2 linked regions of the Schizosaccharomyces pombe genome follow. The protein of the gene in region 1 interacts with the protein of each later gene in a pairwise test. Each region holds a gene or a part of one and is shown in the gene's direction. Other genes may lie near its edges.

What was found. Proteins that work in one complex are often made in the same cells at the same time.
Region 2: the proteins of skb5 (region 1) and ptc1 interact in a two-hybrid assay, tested with the Schizosaccharomyces pombe proteins (3 studies listed by BioGRID).

The regions. Positions count from the first base shown.
Region 1 is NC_003421.2:920,728-924,026, forward strand, and holds skb5 (Shk1 kinase-binding protein 5), read left to right. Parts: upstream 1-1,906; 5' UTR 1,907-2,341; coding exon 2,342-2,764; downstream 2,765-3,299. Other genes in the region: THO complex subunit Tho7, read right to left, coding at 9-159, 216-434, 488-494; EKC/KEOPS complex subunit Cgi121, read left to right, coding at 695-1,219.
Region 2 is NC_003421.2:2,002,500-2,006,923, forward strand, and holds ptc1 (serine/threonine protein phosphatase PP2C catalytic subunit Ptc1), read left to right. Parts: upstream 1-2,036; 5' UTR 2,037-2,179; coding exon 2,180-3,223; 3' UTR 3,224-3,893; downstream 3,894-4,424. Other genes in the region: GATA-type transcription factor Ams2, read left to right, coding at 1-983; SPOM_SPCC4F11.03C (uncharacterized protein), read right to left, coding at 4,233-4,424. UniProt on the Schizosaccharomyces pombe protein: Serine and threonine phosphatase. Has a specialized role in the heat shock response. May be responsible for the dephosphorylation of hsp90.

The DNA.
Region 1 (3,299 bases):
AAACTTACTCTTGTTGTTCTGTTCTTGATCTCAATCCTTTTGACATTATTGGCTTGGCCAACTCGTCGTATTGTTCACGCTTTCTTAATTCTTCTTGGGCAACTAGTAAATCTTGCTCAAGCTGGCTTATTTCGGTTTTTTCTGCTTCACAAAATGTTTCTGAAAATATTAATAAAAACATCACTGTACTTAAAGTTACGAATTTAATCACATACGAGTCTTCTTCAGTTCTCCTTCGTAAACATCCACTTCTTTAGCATTCATGTCTAATTGCATTTGCAATCGAAGCCAAAAAGCAGAGAGAGCAGAAAATTCAATTTCTAAATCCCTTAAGTTTGCTTCGTCTACATTTTGAGCAGCAAAACCAAGACACCGACTAATCAACCGTTTCAAAGGCCGTTCTTCCACAGTTAAGCGCGATCGAATCGCCGTCTCTGACATATCGGTTAACTTAATATTTTCAAAAAAAAAATTATTTATAGCATACCCTCCATAATGAATTGAGTAAAAAAAAAGCAAATTCACTATACAATTTAGTTGGGCGCTAAGTCAGTAGCTGGAGTGTTCGGAGTTTTAGTCACCGTATTTTACCGATGTTTACCGGCAAAAAGTTATTAGTACGATTATTACCTAAGAAATGTAAAAACGCTAACAAGGATTGCAGTTTGATATTGCTATAGAACAGGCGGGCAAAATGATTTTACCTCTTTTTCCAGAGACACAAGTTCATGTTTTTGTATATGAAAATGTTTCTAACTGTGCTGCGATTCATGAACAACTAATAAGCCAGAATCCCATTTATGACTATGCGTTTCTCGATGCCGCTACTATTCTATATAAAAAGCAGGTTTATAGCGCTATTATTAGGGCTCTCGAAGATAGAAGGGACGAACAAATGAAAACTAAGACGATTCACTCAGAGGTTATTTTGTCATTGTCCCCAAAAACCGAAATTTCTAGTGCGTTCCGACAATTCAGCATGACAAAAAAATCTAAAAACATTGTAGTGGTAAAAATTGATAGCAAACTTACAGAAGAAGAAGAATTTGAGCGCTTGGACAAACTTGTGGAAGGTAATAGGGTCGAATTTTCTGACGAAGAGTTACAAAAATTAATAGACTTCAAGGTGTTAAAAAAGAATTACAAATTGGATCCCTCTACGCTTGAGAATCCTTTGGCCTCTATATTATCTTCGATAGCTCTACGTGGTTATTCTTAAAAACATATGTTCTAGCAAATCTGATCTTTTGTCAATGTTTCACAATTGATTTGACTATTTTTCTATGCGGCTTGAATGATAATGATGAGAGTTCCAAATGGAACGTTGTGTGGATTCTTCTATTCCTTATAATTTTTTCCTCTCTCAAATGACTGTACAAACTATTTAGCAAGCACCTACATAATCAATTTTTGATTTACGAATTGGTAAAGGATGGCACGTAAAGTTATGCCCTCTGGTTTGGTTCAGTTTTATGATCTCTTGACAGTTTTACTAAAGTAACTAAGGGCATTTCATTACGATTATCTGTTTCGATACTTTTACCTAGGGAATGCTTTAGTGTTATTTGACATCATGTTTTGTTCTTGTGCAATATTTTTTGCTCAGGTCTATTGGCGATGAATTACTATATGGTGGATCTCAGTGCAAAAAGTTTACCATTATGTGAATAGTTATTAAAAGTTTAATGGGATTATAAATTAATGGGTTTTTTATTGCGCACCTTATGCTCCTGTTATAAAGAAAAGCAGGTCGCAAAGGTAAGAACTATTTTTATACAACAATAAAGGTTTTTACATCGTATGTTTTACAATTAACTGGCAGCTCTTTGTCAAAATTGTTTATTTACGGATTTAACTTGCCTTCTTGCGGTATTGACTGCTAAGCCGGAATTTGTGATATCAAGCCATCCGTTTCCCAGTCACGCGAAAACTCTTCCTTATGGAAATTTCATTTTAACAAGTACAAATCTGTTAAAACTACATTCATATAATCATATGCAGGCAGCCGATTAGAGAAAAACTAAATTTCTTAGGCAGAATTGTCATTATCCGTCAATACCGCGTTTTTTTTATTTTCCGCTTTGATTTTTTTTATCATTCTTTTTGGTTCTTTTATTTTTGTTTTTATTTGTTTTGTTTTCTTTTTTTCCTTTTCAAAAGTCATTTGAAGACAAAAACTCAACGTTGAAGAGAGCATTTGTTCATCTGTTGACTTTTCGCCAATACACCTGTTTTTTTATGGACTTGCTAAGTATAGTGTAAATTTAACGCTGTCGTTGATCCGTATGATTTCTTTTGATTAATTTAAATCGTTATATGTGACACTAGCAATTTTTGCTTCATGGCGGAAGAGACTGAAGAGGATTATTTAGTTGTGGGTCGTGATTACTTGTACCCCCCAGATCATGAACTGCACTATGGGTTTCATGCTCGTGTGATTGAAGAGGAGGAGGAGCGATTTGTAGATGATACCTTTGATGAAACAATCGAAGGATCGGATGACTCCGAATCAATAGATGATACGGAAGTATTTTACGATGCTGAAGAATCTGAAAGCACTCACCCTTCTGCTTCTTTCAACGTCCTTGCTGACGCCGTTGCGCTTTATGATTTCGAGCCCCTCCATGATAATGAACTCGGTTTTACTACTGGTCAGAGACTTTGTATTTTGTCGGAATCCAGCGATGGTTGGTTGATTGCATACGATGATGCCTCAGGAAGAAGCGGGCTTGTTCCTGAGACGTTTGTTAAATTAGAGGTATAAAAGAGCGTTGAATTGAACCCTTTTTACTTTTTCTTTTTGTCAAATTGATTTTAAAATGTTATTCCTTATTTTATGTTCCAAGATTTTCTGGATCCTCTCCTTTATATATAAGAATCCGAAGTGTTACGGGAAAAAAATTCGGATTGTCACGCTTCTTATGAATATTATTTAAATGTACGCCTTTAAAGCAACTATCATACAATTCTCCTTTGGGTAAATAACTAACCTTGGGATGTGTCGTAACTTGGGACTTATTTTTGATTTGTTATAAGGATGAAATGAATGTTCTATCTTATGGACCTTACAAGAAAAACTATAATATTGTCAAATATAATCATATGAGATGAGTTAAGCTACATAAAACTCTTTGAAACTTTATTTTATATTATTGCAACCTTCTAATAACTTTACATCTTCTTATCCAAAGAAGAAGGGTTAGAATGTACCGTGTTTTACGGAAGTTCCATTCCCGTAGGGTTACAATGTGTTGCTAGAATAAACCGTAAGTCATAGTACATATAGAGGCCAATTCTGT
Region 2 (4,424 bases), 1.1 Mb from region 1:
CTTTGATGCTTTGTAATGCATGTGGTATATATTGGACGAGTCGGCGCTCGATGCGTCCAAGAAATTTATGGTCTACCTATAAAGCATTTGAAACAGAGAAACCGTTGGAAAATGATGCATTTGCTCAGCTTGAGTTAGCCGTATATAAACTTTCCCAGCAACGAAAACTATCTATATCCATCTTCCGTGAGCTTGAAAATGCAGGACGGCACTCTCCTCTGAATAGACTTACGTCTTTAGACTCAACACACTCTGCACCTGATCCCAATCATATCTCAAAACCCTCTGTTGTTAATCAGCAGAAATCCAGAGGAGGTCCCCGTACTGCTAAGCTGAAAAATGACCTCAGACGCATACAATCATCTCCCATTGTTGCACCTACTCCTGATACATCATTTCGTGAGCCTTTATCCGAAATTGGGTCTAATGATAGTTGGCTGGTATTACCAAATTCACTAAGTGCCAATATACAAAATGATGTTTTAAGAAAAACTGATTTCATGTGTACTGACAAGGAAAACGTCGCTTTTCCTTTGAAAACCACAACAAAGCCTATGCCTAAAGTAAATAAAGAAGAGACAGAGCCAACTCTGCCTGTTTGCGATTCAGAAAAAGAAAATGATGATTTAGAGTGCTATTTCAGAACCCCTCCAAAACCAACTACCTTACAAAAGCAACAACAAAGTCCATCACCCTGGAGGTCAGAGTTATTTTTGTCTGACCCTGACCAAAACGTATTGACACCAAGGCATAAGCCAAAGTTTGATTTATCAAAGGCATTGTCTTCGGTTGCAAAATCCAATAACATTGAGAATTCACCTCAATTACCAGAAAGATATGATTTTTCTTTAGAATTGGGGTTGAATTCTCAACTCGATAATGAAGAAAGACGCGATATTCCTCTGATGACAGATTTGGTGATGCCAAGTAGTCCGCCCATGGTCCCTGCTGACAGGCATTTATCCGTTGAAAACACTTGTTGAAAGAGCGATAAAGGCGTACCTTTGCTTCACACATTACCCTTGTTCTTTAATTTTTTGTTTTATCAAGAAGTCATGTGTGATCAAAATTGACATCTTTCATTATTCGAGTCTTCTTGCTTTTTTATGATTTTTATTTTGATAATGACATCCTTAATTCGTTTTCTTAACCGCAAAAAAATGATTGTTGCTGTTAAAGTCCTTACTGCGTAAGAACTCCCAAGGCATGTCCCCTCAAATCCGTCCTTCGTTCTTTTTATTTCTAAAGCAATTTATTTTATTTTCTTTCATACCATGAGCCGTTATTACCTCCCCCTTGATTATTAAAATATTTCAAGTCGTTGCTTATTGTTGGCGGCATAGCCAAGAGCATGCGACAAGCATTCTATAAATCTTGTCGCAAAATAGAAGTTGGACACTATTTCTTTTAATCTTCTCAAATGTTCTTCGACTTCATCTTTGAGGCTCGGTTTATGGAAATTTTGGATACTTCGTGATAGTTCTGTCTGTTTTGCTTATACAAACAAATTATAATTTCATTAATTGTATTATGAAAGCCGATATGGACAAAGCCACATCCTTATTTTACATACGGAAAAAGTTACTTTTAATTATTTATATGAACACTGTTATTCTTGTTAGCATGTTTATGTTGCGAAACGTTTCTAATTGATTATTATGGGTAGACCGGATAATTGATATTTAGCAAATTCACTAGACGAACACATGACAAATTTTTTTCAGTAATGCGAACCAAAGTCACGCGAAAGCAAGTGTAAAAGTCGAAGGATTTCAATACATGGTTCAATATTTTTGTCTAGAATAAATCAAACGTTTAGTTCATATATTCAAAACAACAGCTTATTGCTGCTTACTATTTCTAATTTTCTAATAGCCTTTTGTTAGCATTTTTGTATTATAATGTAGTTCAATGCAGAGCGGATAACGGTTTAGTGGAAGTTAACCTAGTACGTAAAAATGATTTCCGAAGATCTCGGTATACCACGCGTGACGTAAATGCCCGAGTTTATTAGCACTGACTGACTTAACAAGTTTATACTTACGCAGAAACCCAAGGAAAATCGGTGTTTCTCGTATATACTATACAATCAGCAATTTTATACCTGATATTATAATTGAAGGTATTTAGTTAATTTGAAAAGCAATTTTTTTGTCGGTACTGAAGTGTTTGAACGAATATGAAGGGAAGCCATCCAAATGCAGGTTCCCTGTTGGAACCACTTCACAAGTTGAACCCATTTTCTGAAAATTCTACAAGTGGACATCGAAAAAACGCTAGTGATCATTCGGCGGATGGAGAAACTCGACCGATTGCAATTGAGATGAAGGATAGTAAAGGCAACACAGTCCCAGTTGGTAACTCGCGCCCTAGTAAAGCCTCTAACTGGCTTGCTGGACTGATGGAGGATAAAAACCAAAGATGGCGTAGGTCTATGGAGGATACTCATATTTGCTTGTATGATTTTGGGGGTAATCAGGACGACGGCTTCGTTGCCGTTTATGACGGACATGCTGGCATTCAAGCATCTGACTACTGTCAGAAGAATCTTCACAAGGTACTTTTGGAAAAGGTTAGGAATGAGCCGGACCGGCTGGTCACAGACCTAATGGACGAAACATTTGTCGAGGTCAACAGCAAAATTGCAAAGGCTACTCACAATGACATTTGCGGTTGTACCGCTGCAGTTGCTTTCTTTAGATATGAGAAAAACCGCACCCGCCGTGTTCTCTACACAGCTAATGCAGGTGATGCACGTATCGTATTATGCCGTGATGGTAAGGCTATTCGACTTTCTTACGATCACAAGGGATCCGATGCCAATGAGTCTCGTCGTGTGACCCAGTTGGGTGGTCTCATGGTACAAAACCGAATTAATGGCGTTCTTGCTGTCACAAGGGCCTTAGGTGATACCTATCTTAAGGAATTGGTCAGTGCGCATCCCTTCACCACTGAAACCCGAATCTGGAACGGTCATGATGAGTTCTTCATTATCGCTTGTGATGGCTTGTGGGATGTAGTATCGGATCAGGAAGCTGTCGACTTTGTTCGCAATTTCGTAAGCCCTCGCGAAGCCGCTGTTCGCCTGGTAGAATTTGCATTAAAACGTCTTAGTACAGACAATATCACTTGTATTGTAGTTAACTTGACTCGCAATCCCGGTGATCTCGATGATTCAGGACTTACCGCTGATAATGATTCATACAGTAATGACTATTATTAGGTATTTGATGGATTCAATGATGTGCTTTCTGTTGTTTCGTAACGGTTTTTCGATGTCTTTACCTCATCCACAGTACTTGTTTGGAAGCCGGAATGACTTAATCCTATTTTTTTGTTTACCAAGCACTGTAATTGCATCGATTCTTTTCCTTTATTTATGGACCTTGTATTCTCATTTGGACATGGTTTTCCTTTGGGTCGACTTATTTTTTCTAATTAATTACTCTTCTTTTTATAAACCACTTTGTGCATGTTTCTCTTGTTCTTCTTTTTTGTCTAAAAGTAATGTGTCTAAATATCGATCCTAAATCTGTCCAAATCTAGTTTCTTTTTTCTTTTTTCATGATTTGCTACCTTTTCCTCCAATCTGCGTGCCACTGTTCGAATCAATCGTATATTCATCATTAGCCCTCTTCATACCCATTTAAAGGTACAAACATTTCACTCTTTTTAAGGTTCTTCGTGAGTGTTTTCGGTATTTTTATTTACAATTGCTTCGCAAATATTATGAATGTACTTGCGTGCATGCATTGGTGTTTATAACAAAGGCTATACGTTCACCAAAAAAAATTTATTTTACCCTTTTATCGTCTTTAATTTTCGATTTAAAAGTCGAATTATAATTATTATTCTGAAGTTACGGGTTGTCTTTATTTTGTCCCGTTCCTGCTAAAATACCATTTGCACGTAAAAATATATATACATACACTAATTGTACCAAGTATTCGAGATTTTAGCATTGGCCTAAACATAGGAAAAAGACAACGCTTTTCTACTTACTGTCTCAACTCTAGTTTTCATACATAAAGGTGCAGAGCAATACAATCAAATGATACTCACCGGATAAAGACATGCAATTGTTTTTTATAATTACCGTTTATAGGTTTTTTGTTGAATGATCTGGAAATGAATGACTATAGTAATAGATAATAATACATGAAAAAAACATTGACAAATTGAAACAACCACGTTAAACCGATCATACATAGCTGAACTGAAGTCAACTCAACTCATTTTGTCATGGTGAAGTCAAAGTTCTCACCAAACAAGTCATTTATGCTTTCAGTGGTTGGAATGTCTGTAGGAAGATTTAGAGCGTTGTCAAACGTATTAGTTAAATGCGAAGCAAAGCTGCCATCATTACCGAACGCAGCACTGTAGTTTTCTTGTGCTTGCAAGTCAATTCCCATTTGCTGGTTAGG